3 linked regions of the Xenopus tropicalis genome follow. The protein of the gene in region 3 purifies or fractionates together with the protein of the main gene of each other region. This does not show direct contact. Links are inferred from orthologs where the notes say so. Each region holds a gene or a part of one and is shown on either strand. Other genes may lie near its edges.

Evidence for each region. The genes of interacting proteins can lie anywhere in the genome.
Region 1: the proteins of uncharacterized protein LOC496835 (region 3) and polr2e purify together in Homo sapiens (affinity purification with mass spectrometry; 4 studies listed by BioGRID and IntAct, with this or other methods). This does not show direct contact. The link is inferred for Xenopus tropicalis from reciprocal best matches to the Homo sapiens genes POLR1D and POLR2E.
Region 2: the proteins of uncharacterized protein LOC496835 (region 3) and polr3f purify together in Homo sapiens (affinity purification with mass spectrometry; 3 studies listed by BioGRID and IntAct, with this or other methods). This does not show direct contact. The link is inferred for Xenopus tropicalis from reciprocal best matches to the Homo sapiens genes POLR1D and POLR3F.

Annotation. Positions count from the first base shown.
Region 1 is NC_030677.2:100,196,937-100,200,691, reverse strand, and holds the start of polr2e (DNA-directed RNA polymerases I, II, and III subunit RPABC1), read left to right. Parts: upstream 1-1,160; 5' UTR 1,161-1,170; coding exon 1,171-1,227; intron 1,228-1,437; coding exon 1,438-1,612; intron 1,613-1,710; coding exon 1,711-1,826; intron 1,827-3,441; coding exon 3,442-3,522; intron 3,523-3,755. UniProt on the Homo sapiens protein: DNA-dependent RNA polymerase catalyzes the transcription of DNA into RNA using the four ribonucleoside triphosphates as substrates.
Region 2 is NC_030681.2:38,387,927-38,391,681, forward strand, and holds the start of polr3f (DNA-directed RNA polymerase III subunit RPC6), read left to right. Parts: upstream 1-1,090; 5' UTR 1,091-1,252; coding exon 1,253-1,308; intron 1,309-2,835; coding exon 2,836-2,953; intron 2,954-3,755. UniProt on the Homo sapiens protein: DNA-dependent RNA polymerase catalyzes the transcription of DNA into RNA using the four ribonucleoside triphosphates as substrates.
Region 3 is NC_030678.2:155,277,856-155,281,610, reverse strand, and holds the start of uncharacterized protein LOC496835, read left to right. Parts: upstream 1-1,106; 5' UTR 1,107-1,112; coding exon 1,113-1,135; intron 1,136-2,487; coding exon 2,488-2,562; intron 2,563-3,755.

The DNA.
Region 1 (3,755 bases), on a different chromosome or scaffold from region 3:
CACAAGCTGGAATTGGATTTCTTACTATTGAGTGCAATTCTGAGATCTACTGGGAGCTGCTATCTTGCTACCTTCCCATTATTCTGCCGATTGGCTGCTGGGAGGGGGTTCATATCACTCCAACTTGCAGCTCAGCAGTAAAGTGTGAGTTCAGAGCACAGGTCACATGACTGTGGCACCCTGGGAAATGAAGAATATGGCTAGCCCAACGTGAAATTTCAAAATTAAATATAAAAAAAATCAGTTTGTGTTTTTGAAAAATGGATTTCAATGCAGGATTCTGCTGGAGACGCTCTATTAACAGATATGTTTTTAAAAAATACGTTTTTCCCGTGACAGTATTAATTTAACGTATTGTATCCTTACCTTGTATTTACTATCATACTTTGTATTTATTTTATTGTAATAGTCCCGTTTATTCTATTCATTTATTGTCCTACTGTACAGCGCTGGGTACATAAGTAGTGCTATATAAATAAAAATATATATACATACATAAAGATAATATTATATATCAAAATGGGGCTTGGGGCAAAAATAAAAAAAAATCTTAATAAAACACTGCTCGCCTTAAAACAGTTTAACAAGTATTTCTAAAGAATATTTAGTTTACGTAATTCTTGTAGTTAGCCTATCATTGGCACATTACCACACCCTCTTTTGCCAATAACTAATCCCTATACCTTTAGAGGGTTAACTCTTAAACTTAGCCACTTATAATATTAATGCAGAGCGCCATGTAACTATGTGACGCAATATAAATACACGAAGACGATGAATATAGGAACGGTAGTAATACCCACCAACAAAATGGTGATCTTTACAAGAACATGTACGCCGGCTTCTTGCCTACCACAAACATGGCCGAGCCCTTCAACTGCGACGATGCAATTTCTTTGGTCTTCCTTAGCGTGATACCGAAACTTGAACAAATTCTACAACCCGAATAGCCACCTTCAGCAAAAAAGGGAAACGATATTATGCGCAACTTTATTCCTTTTCCACAGTGCAGTTTTAAGCTAATAACACGTCCTCAGAGATACCCCACAGCAGTATTCGCTTGTAGCCATCAGGCAGAGTGAGGGCAGCCCATGTAGGGTCCTCCTGCAGCCCAGGGAGCCGAGCTCCGGAAATCGCGCTCTTCTTCCTGTTTGGTCTCGTGGAGACAACATGGACGATGAGGAGGAAACTTACCGGTTGTGGAAGATCCGCAAAACTATTATGCAGGTGAGAAAATTGAGTTTTAAATCTTTTTGTGTTATAATCTTCGCCTTTTTCAGTAATTCGAACTCAGCTACGTTGTGTTGGGTACCATTCATTTCTGCTTCCAGCATATACTTCTACTGTACTCTTCGTCCCTGTCACTTTTACTTTTGTGCTTTACCTCATCTGTCTCCATATTACCTGTTTCACTCGCATCCTTCTTTCCTTCGCCAGCTGTGCCATGACCGTGGTTACTTAGTAACGCAGGATGAATTGGATCAGACACTGGATGAGTTTAAAGCCCAGTTTGGGGACAAACCTAGCGAAGGGCGCCCTCGCCGAACTGACCTGACTGTATTAGTAGCTCATAATGATGATCCCACAGACCAAATGTTTGTTTTCTTCCCAGGTGAGTAGGTGCAAAAAAAAAAAAAAAAACAGTGACTGGCTGAAGGGTCTATACATGCAGACAAAGGATTATTACATGTTTGCCTGTCTTATTTGTAGAGGAACCCAAAGTTGGCATTAAGACAATTAAGATGTATTGCCAGAGAATGCAGGAGGAGAACATTACGAGGGCTTTAATCGTGGTGCAGCAGGGAATGACCCCATCTGCCAAACAGGTAATTCTGCCAGCTAACGTGCACCTTACCTAAGCATACTTACTGGGTGAACTGCAGTTCTGATCCAAAGCTTTTATAAATGAAAATGTACAGATAAAATATATACTACTCCGATGAATTAATTTTCTATGTGATTTGTATGTTTTGCTGGCAAAAGACACCTAAGCTTTATTTTTTATCTTAAAAATGGGATAAGTTTGAAAGACCCTTCTTTAAAAAGGAATACACCTATTATTAAAACTATAGATCTCATCTGCTAAATGCAAAAAAGTGCAATTTGCCATATTACCCCTCAGTGCAGCATCCTTCCTGCAGCATAGGCATACACTTACATGGTTGTCAGTCATGTGCAGTTCAGCTTCCACAACCTTGATTGGCTATGAGTGCATAAGGAGGCCCAGTGCTTAAAGGAACAGTAACACCAAAAAATGAAAGTGTATAAAAATAATTAATATATTATATACTATTGTTTTGCACTGGTAAAAGTTGTGTGTTTTCTTCATAAACACTACTGCAGTTTATATAAATACCCTACTGTGTAGCCACGGGGGCAGCCATTTAAATTGAAAAAAAGAGAAAAGGCACAGGTTGCTAAGCAGATAACAATTAAGTAGCAGATTCCCATTGTATTCTACACAGTTTATCTGGTATCTTCTTATGTAACCTGTGCCTTTTCTCCTTTTTTCAATTTAAATGGCTGCCCCCATGGCTACACAGCAGCTATTTCTATTAACTATAGTAGTCTTTCTGAAGCAAACACGCAACTTTTACTAGTGCAGGGCAACAGTAAATTATATTTTAATTATTTTAAAACATTTTTATTTTTTAGTGTTACTGTTCCTTTAACACCAGGCCCAGACTGCCAGTCTGTGGATTCTGGCAAATGCCAGAGGAACTGCTGTAAGATCCCACAGACAGTTGCTGTTTGGGCCTTTGTGTATTTGAAATATTAGGGCCTATTTTGAATCTCAGCCTGGGTCTGCATAACACCAGGTCAAACCAGATGTTAAGCACAGGGCTTGGGTGCAAGTAGGTGCAGGTCATATGCGTATGCTGTTTAAAATTTGCAATTCTGGCTGATGAACTAACATAGTCATATTATCCAAGTATAAGCAGGTTACCGTTTTATGTTCTCTGGCAAGTAAGATAAAGGCAGACGTTTACTAGTTAATTAGTTACTAGTTAATATTGTATGATTATTACTTAATACTACTACCACGTTTTCTAAAAACAGGATCGAATCACTTTATTTGCCTGATGGAAAGGTAAAGGACAACTATAAACCTTCTCTCCTATGATATAGGAAAGAGGATGGACCGGTCATTGCATATAAATATGAATGTAACCTTTTCATGCTAAATCATAATAAAGACGTTAAAAAAAAAAATTGGCAATTCTGCACCTACTTCTTGTAAGTGAGCCCTTTTGACTTCAATCCAGTTGAAACCTTGTTTCCTATGCATAGGATAAATACTGCCAAAATCTGAAAAAATATTTTAATTATTAAATTATCAGTTAATGTAGTAAAATGTTTACATGGTGTTAGTCCATAATAAATACTATCCAAAGCTTCTGCCAGCTTTCCTATCTTTATAGCAATCTCTTTATTTTGCAGTCCCTGGTGGATATGGCACCCAAATACATTCTGGAGCAGTTTCTACAACAGGAGCTTCTGATTAATATCACAGAGCATGAGGTGAGTTTTAATACAGAAGGGGAAGAAACACTTTCACTCATACTGAAACGTTTCTGTTATCCATACACACTGACATGTAATAGGTGGGTGCACATGGGAACGTTAGGTGCCTTCTTGATGAGTAGCAGCAGAGTATTGTAATGTGTTAGCCATAGTTTCAGAAAAAAGATTTTAGGTGGTAACATGATACCGTTTAAAATTAATTAACCAATAAACAGTATCACCTTCCCACA
Region 2 (3,755 bases), on a different chromosome or scaffold from region 3:
CATAGGGACCATTTAACCCTATGGGTCCCTACATGTACATGGGCAGTTGACTCAATAAGGCCAAATACTCTTGACAGTGGCATAACTACCTATACAGCAGACCCCATGACCATGGGGGGCGGAAGCTGGGCCATGAGGTCCACTGTGTGTAGTTTGCCATCCATAGTCACTTCTAAATGTCCACTTTGCTGGCTCTCATTTGAGCTTAAGCGTGCATGCCGGGCCCCTCCGAAGATATTTTTTTTGTGGGGGTGGGGCCAGACCACTCAAGGTACGCTACTGTCTCTTGACCAAAAACATTGCACTAAGGGACATTGTCACCATTTGTTGGCCACTGTACCCAACTTTCTGCAGTTCAAATGAATACATTAGAAATTGATTAAATGATTTATTGTATTTGTCCTGTCAGCATTTGTACTTAGCAAAACTTTTAATTAGTCAAACAGCCATAAAATGATTCTGAGGCTATAATTCTCCCAGACAATCTGGTGCATGAGATGAGCTTACATACATGTACTGTACATGCTACACCAGTCCCGCTTTATAAAAACGTATAAAATATAAAAATATTTCAGCCACTGAAAAACATGTAACTAGAAGTTAATGGGCTTCATCGAATCACATAGCATTGAGTTCGAAAAGCATAAGTTCGCAAGCTGCAGAGCACTATCTATGGCGAGCAGTAACCTACAGACTCTTCATTAGTCTAAATTGATAGCACCCTGACTTACCTTGATAAAATATCCCACTGTGGACCCCGGCGCAGCCTTTGTCCCACCTCCCGTTACTAGAGACGCGGTGTAGTAAAAACCTGCTTCCTGACGGTGTCTGCCCTTTTCATTGGTCAAGTCTGGCTGCCTAGCAACTAAAGATGCGAAGATGACGCTAATAAACCATCGCCCATATTTCTTCACACTCTCAAAGCGCATGCTCCTATGCATGACGTATTTCCGCAGCAAATGCTACACAGACGACTTGCTGTATTTGGAAATTGTAAAGCGTGAAAATGTTTGGTTAGCGACAACGTAAATCGCGAAGTCCTTTAGTTAAAAGACGTAGTACCTTTGATTTGAAAATATATTGTCCGCTCGGAAGTTGTTCCGTTCCAAACGCTCCCTTTTGCCCGAAAGCAAAATGGCTGCCGATACTTTCTGCTGATCGAGCTGCAGCGCTAGTGCTACCTGAACTGGGGGTGTTGGGGCGACAGTCGTTAAGGGGGACACGTGGGCAAAGGATAGGGACTCAAATAAACATGTCAGAAGCGAAGGTGAAGCAAGAAGGTGGGGAGGCAGCGGAGATAGAGAACAGGTAAGCGGTGCAAAGCGGAGTATGTCTTTGGCGTTTTGGCTATGTTGGTTTACTTTTTTCAATTACATAAGGTTTAAATGAAAGTCCCTTGCATTAGAAAGACACATTGATCAATATAATCATATTGGCAGCATATGCTTACAGTTATAGCAGAAAACTAAAGTTATTTATTAGTTGTGTCACTTGCTGTCACGCATTGACTTGCTCAATGTCTGTCCCAGGTTATATCCAGCCTTTCTTCAGAGCTGTGGTCCCAGACCAGGCATTAGAACCCTACTAGTATTTTGAAAAGCTTCATGGCAATCTCAGCTATACCTTATCTAAAGGACATGACTACACCTACACTGTGGCTGACTGATGAGACATGAACACATTTGCTAAAAGATGTGGGGTTTTTATCTGCAGGAAACCTAAAACTGTAGAGGCCAGTGTATGCCTATAGACACTTTTGCTAAACATCAGCATACTAAATAAGTCTTGTGTTGAGAATGTAATCTTTTTTTATTTTAGTTTAAAAATCCATATTTTTAACATTTATCAAATGTTTTGTAGTTATAAAGCACTAAAATAAAAGTGTTTTGTTTTTCCCCACTATTGTTTAAATGAGAATAATGAGCTGTGTATAAAGCAAATCCACTCTCTCCTAAGATGTAGCCTTTGTTAGACTTTGTGATTAGGAGCAGCCAGTGCTTATCTGTATACTGTTGATTTGTTTTACCACAAATGATGATTTGGCAGAACCAGGAAACTAGAAAATTTAAGCTGTCAGTGTCTTTGTTTAGTGCAAGAAATAACTAAAAGCCATACATTACTTGGAAAAACTATATTTATTGTTTAGCTCATGGTAAAAAGAAATATACTGCCCCTTAAAGGAAACTTTTAAGGACTGTCTTATAGTAAAAAGGGACAATAAAAATATGTGGTTATGATAAAGTTACACCGAATTAAAAAAAAAACAAGTGTGTTTATGCCAGGCCCGGTCTGACAGTCTATGGATTCTGGCCAATGCCAGAGTGGCTGCTGCAAGATGCCATAGAACGTCACTATGTATTGCACCTGTGGGGGGCTGTTTGGGCCTTTGTACATGAAATTCCTCTTTTGAATCTTAGTCCGGACCTGTAGACTGCCTCTGGTGTATGTAGTACAGCATGTAGTACCAAAAAACATCCAACATCTGTCTACCAATGGAGGGTGGCTGTTATTACAGCTGTCCAAAAAAAAAAAAAGCAGCAATGGCTTCGGTTCTTTAAACATCCTCTTTGTTGTTAGTGTGATTTTTAGTCACATAATACTCCGTTCCAGCCGTTTGTTTCTTGCAGTTGTTGGCTCACATAAGGGGTAGCAGTTCTTTCATACTGGACATGATCTAAATATTCTGCATGTGTTGTGCATTCCTTCCACTAACATCAGGGGCCAAAATTATTACAAATAAAATGTTAGAGAAAGTCAACAGTCTCATAAACACTTAACACAGTTACACTTAAGCTTTTTCTAGTTCTTTAATGGTATTTTTTTCTATATATTTAGGGTTATTGAGCTGTGCCAGCAGTTTCCTCATGGTATCACTGACCAAGTTATTCAAAATGAGATGCCTCACATTGAAGCCAAACAAAGGGCCATGTGCATCAACCGACTGCTGGCAACTGTAAGTTCTTTTATATTTGTTTTCTTTTTGTCTTACATAATGTATGTTAAAACTATGGCTATATGGCCCCTTGTTTAGATTGAGATACTGAGGGGCAGTTCATTTTGCAAGCTAGGAAATACAGAAGTAAATCACCAAAACTACAAAAACAATAATGGCAGTAGTGACAACGTTTTAACTTTATTATTGCCTAATATTACTTGCATTATCATTTTGAATTTAGCCCCTTGCATGTCATAAATATTTGATGTTGCCCCTCTGTATGTTCCCAATAGTTATACACTGCAGAATAGATAAATCAAAGGCTTCTTTACTGTGACAAATGCCATATAGGGTTAAACATTAAAAAGTTTGAACATTTTTACAATCCATTTCAGTAGAATGACTTTAGGCCAGAACATGTAATACCAGAGAGCAGTTCTAGGATATTCTTTTTATCAACAATTTTTACCAACAAGATTGCTCGTTGCCTGTATGGAAACAGCACAAATATCTTTTGATACCTATTGATAATCAAGTATGGAATACACTCCCCAGCATCCCCATACACTCCCCAGCATCCTGCAGCTGCCCACCCCAGCATTCTCCAGCTCCCCCCCCAGCATTCTCCAGCTCCCCCCCCAGCATTCTCCAGCTCCCCCCACCAGCATTCTCCAGCTCCCCCCACCAGCATTCTCCAGCTCCCCCCACCAGCATCCTCCAGCTCCCCCACCAGCATCCTCCAGCTCCCCCCACCAGCATCCTCCAGCTCCCCCCACCAGCATCCTCCAGCTCCCCCCACCAGCATCCTCCAGCTCCCCCC
Region 3 (3,755 bases):
GGTCAGGAGCAGGAGGGCCCACCGACACCTGGGCCCACCGGGAGTTTTCCTGGTATCCTGGGGGGCCAGTCCGACTGCCTGGGCTGCTGCACTTTTTGAAAAAGAGAAACACCATTCCTGTGTAGCAAGTAAGGGACTAGCACAGTGATCCCATTTAATGTTACTCCCTGAGGCCTTAATGCAGGCACTTATTTTTGAATTCCTGGCTTGGAGGCAAAAAATGAAAGTGTATAAAAATAATTACAATATAATGAACTGTTGCCCTGCACTGGTACAGCTGGTGTGTTTGCCTCAGAAAGTCTATAGTTTATATAAACAAAGGTGCTGTGTAGCCATGGGGGCAGCCATTCAAAGGAGAAAAGGCACAGGCACATAGCAGATAACAGATAAAACCCCATTATATTCTACAGAGCTTATCTGTTATCTGCTATGTAACCTGTGCCTTTTCTCCTTTTTCAAGGTTGAATGGCTGCCCCCATGGCTACACAGCAGCTTATTATATATAAATTATAGTAGAGTTACTGTAGCAAACACACAACTTTACCTGTGCAGGGCAACAGTACATTATATTTTAAATACTTTAATACACTTTCATTTTTGGCGTTACTGTTCCTTTAACCGCGCTGCCAACCTACAGGCATTAGTGACAGGGAGGAATGCAGAGTGGAAATTGTTTTCTCAATACGCCAGTATTTGGCACAATCTCTGAGGTTTTTCAAGTTTGTTTTGTTCCCCAACTCATTTTAAAGTTACTAACAGGTAAAAAAGTTAGGGTATCCCTACACTAGAACCACTTTGCTGTGTTCTCCAACTTGCCCCCCCCAAAACCCCCTATGGTTTTGCGCCAGAGTTTGGGTAAACTTAGCACAATCATTCCACAACTTTTTTTAACCATTGATGACAGTCGTCGTAGTGTTAATCAATATTTTACTATCCATGTGATCTCACAGCGCTGCCCAAAACTATATATATATATATTCCCTTCAGCACTAGGGAGGCACTCCGCAGCTCAGTGACGCCTCTGGCCCCGCCCATTCCGGAAGTCGCTGCGCTGCTTGGCGTTGTTGCCATCTCGCCAGTGTATTTCCGGGTTCCTTTGCTGCAGAGCAGAAATGCAGGAAGACGAATTGGAACGGTACGAAGTATATGCGAAATAGAAATAAAATTGCATGCTGCTGCTTGTGAGCTGTCTATGTTTTACCCCAGTGAACGCTTTATAGTGCAGAGACTGCTTGGGTAGTGGGTGAAGGATAAATAATAATATATACATGAATTGTTATGGGACAGCTGTTGCTGGGGAAGTGGGGACTGATTGGGTGCAGTTACTTTTGGGTCCTTGTTAGGAATACATAGGGGGAGATTTACTAATCCACGAATCCGAAACCGGAATGGCAAAAATTCAGATTGGAAAGAAAATTTTGCCGTCTTTTCGTCGCCGCCGCAACTTTTTCGTATTTGTCGCGACTTTTTCGTCGCCGACACGACATTATCGTATTTTGCGCAACTATTTCGTCGCCGTTGCAATTTTTTCGTATTGAGCGATTGTAAACGGCGGAAAAACCAATCCGATTTTTTCGCGACGGCGACGAAAAAGTTGCAGAAAATATACGAAAAAGTCGCAAAAATACCGATCATTGCGAAAAAAACGCATGCGGATGCCTTCGGACCGTTCGTGGATTAGTAAATCTGCCCCATAGTGTTGATCCGTAGGCTATAGAGAGCTCTTACTGGTACTGAAAGCCAGCTGGCCAGACTGTGGTTCATGTATATCACTGAAAGGCAACCAATAGCCCTTTTTGTATTGTGGAATTACAGCTTCCAGGGTTGGTTGTTGCAGTGGGAGTTAAAGTTAAACTACATCAATAAAGCAGCAATTAGAGATGTGATTTTGGTTTTCACTTTTTTGTAAAAAAAAAAAAAAATACTGGCCTTTCTATGTAATTATCTTTCTTCCCTATTAATAACATTGACATCAAGCATTATTTTGACCGGCTGGGTTGGTATAATACCAAGCAGCCATAGATGGAATTAGGATTGTGCACATTTACATGTCTCTGGGAAGCACTGTGCATGGTTCAGGATTTGTAGGTCCCATAGATTTTGCTTAGAACACTCTCAGCCCACTTATAATAAAATAGTAAACCAATAAAAGCAGTTTGGTCATGCAGTTTTTGGTGCCGTTGCCATATTAATACATATTCAGTGTACTTGCCTGGAGACCAAAAGAAGAGACTGCTAGTTGGAGGCAGATTTGTTGAAATAATGGAATTTTTAAAAAAAAAACGTAAAGTATACTAATGTTTAATAATGTTAATAGGCCTTATTTCATGCGTTTGATACATTTTTTGTCCTCTTTAAATTGGTGTAAAAGAACTTTCCCCCCAAAACATGTGTGTAGATTTTTATTTATGTAGCAATACTTATATATGTTGGGCTGTACAGCCGATATTGTTAATGCTAATTTCTTGCTCTTTTATGCCGATGCAGGAAAGCTGTAGAAGAGCTTCTCAAAGAAGCAAAACGTGGCAAGATCCGAGCTGAAACTATGGGACCAATGGGCTGGTAAGTGGTTTCTTTATACAATTTTTAATGATATATGTGCGTGTAACACTATTGTATGGTTAGTAACTGTGTTCATATTAAAAATACTGGTGTGTTTATAAAACTTGAAAAAACTGTTCTCTTCCTTTAAAAAAGGAAATGGGTAGTCAATGGAGGGAGGTGCAAACCCCTCATACAGTTATTATAATCATCATTATTATTTTCACTTAAAATACACTGGCCCTGTGTACTATTCTTGTGAGGCCTGTCCTGTGCCTATGTGCAGCATAGTAAAATGTGTAATTCAATGTGAAATGACAGGTAGGCTTCTCTTGCACTTAAACACAGAGTAGGGCCACTGCAAAGATTCAGAGAACAGCAATAAGATGACTGCATGGCGCTAATAAGGATAATACCCCAAGCCAGTCATAGGTAAGTGATTATAATCTAGGAATCCCAAACCCGAAATATGCTAATTAGGAAGAGAAAGGGGGAAAAATTGCAGCGTGCGCAGCAAAAAATTTTTCCCCCTACCATATAATCCTTACAAACATGGGCGTCCGCAGAAAATTTTCCAAGGGGGGGCAAGTAAGCTAGCATCATCCTGCAACAGACAAATATATATATATATATATATTTAAAAATATATATTTTTTTTTTGCAGGATGATACTAGGGGAGGCTAAAGATGGCCCATACACAGTCCGACCTACAGCTAATGTGACACTTAGTGGATTCGCTGCTGGCGTAAAAAGTTAACCTCCCAACTACCTCTTGCCGTTCCCACTGACTACCAGGGATACTGTACAAAAGTGCGGGTGGGGGTGCTTTTTTTTTTTTACCCTAAAATGTTTAGGATGTAAAAGTATTCATACGCGCACGCGGGATCTGCAAACATTTGTGTTTGTGATCAGTTAGCTTAAAGGGGTAGTTCGCATTCAATTCACTTTTATTTTTAATGGTTTTTCAGTTATTTAGCTTTTTGTTCAGCAGCTCTCCATTTGGTATTTCAGCAGCTATCTGGTTGCTAGGGTCTTATTTACCCTAGCAACCAGGTAGTGGTTTAAACAAGAGATGGGAATATGAATAGTTAAGGGGCCTACTTAGAAAAATAAGTAATACAAAATTATAATAATAATAAAATTGTAGCCTCACAGAGCAATATTTTTTGGCCCCCATTTGAAATCTGTATAGAGGCAGAAGAGAAAGGCAAAT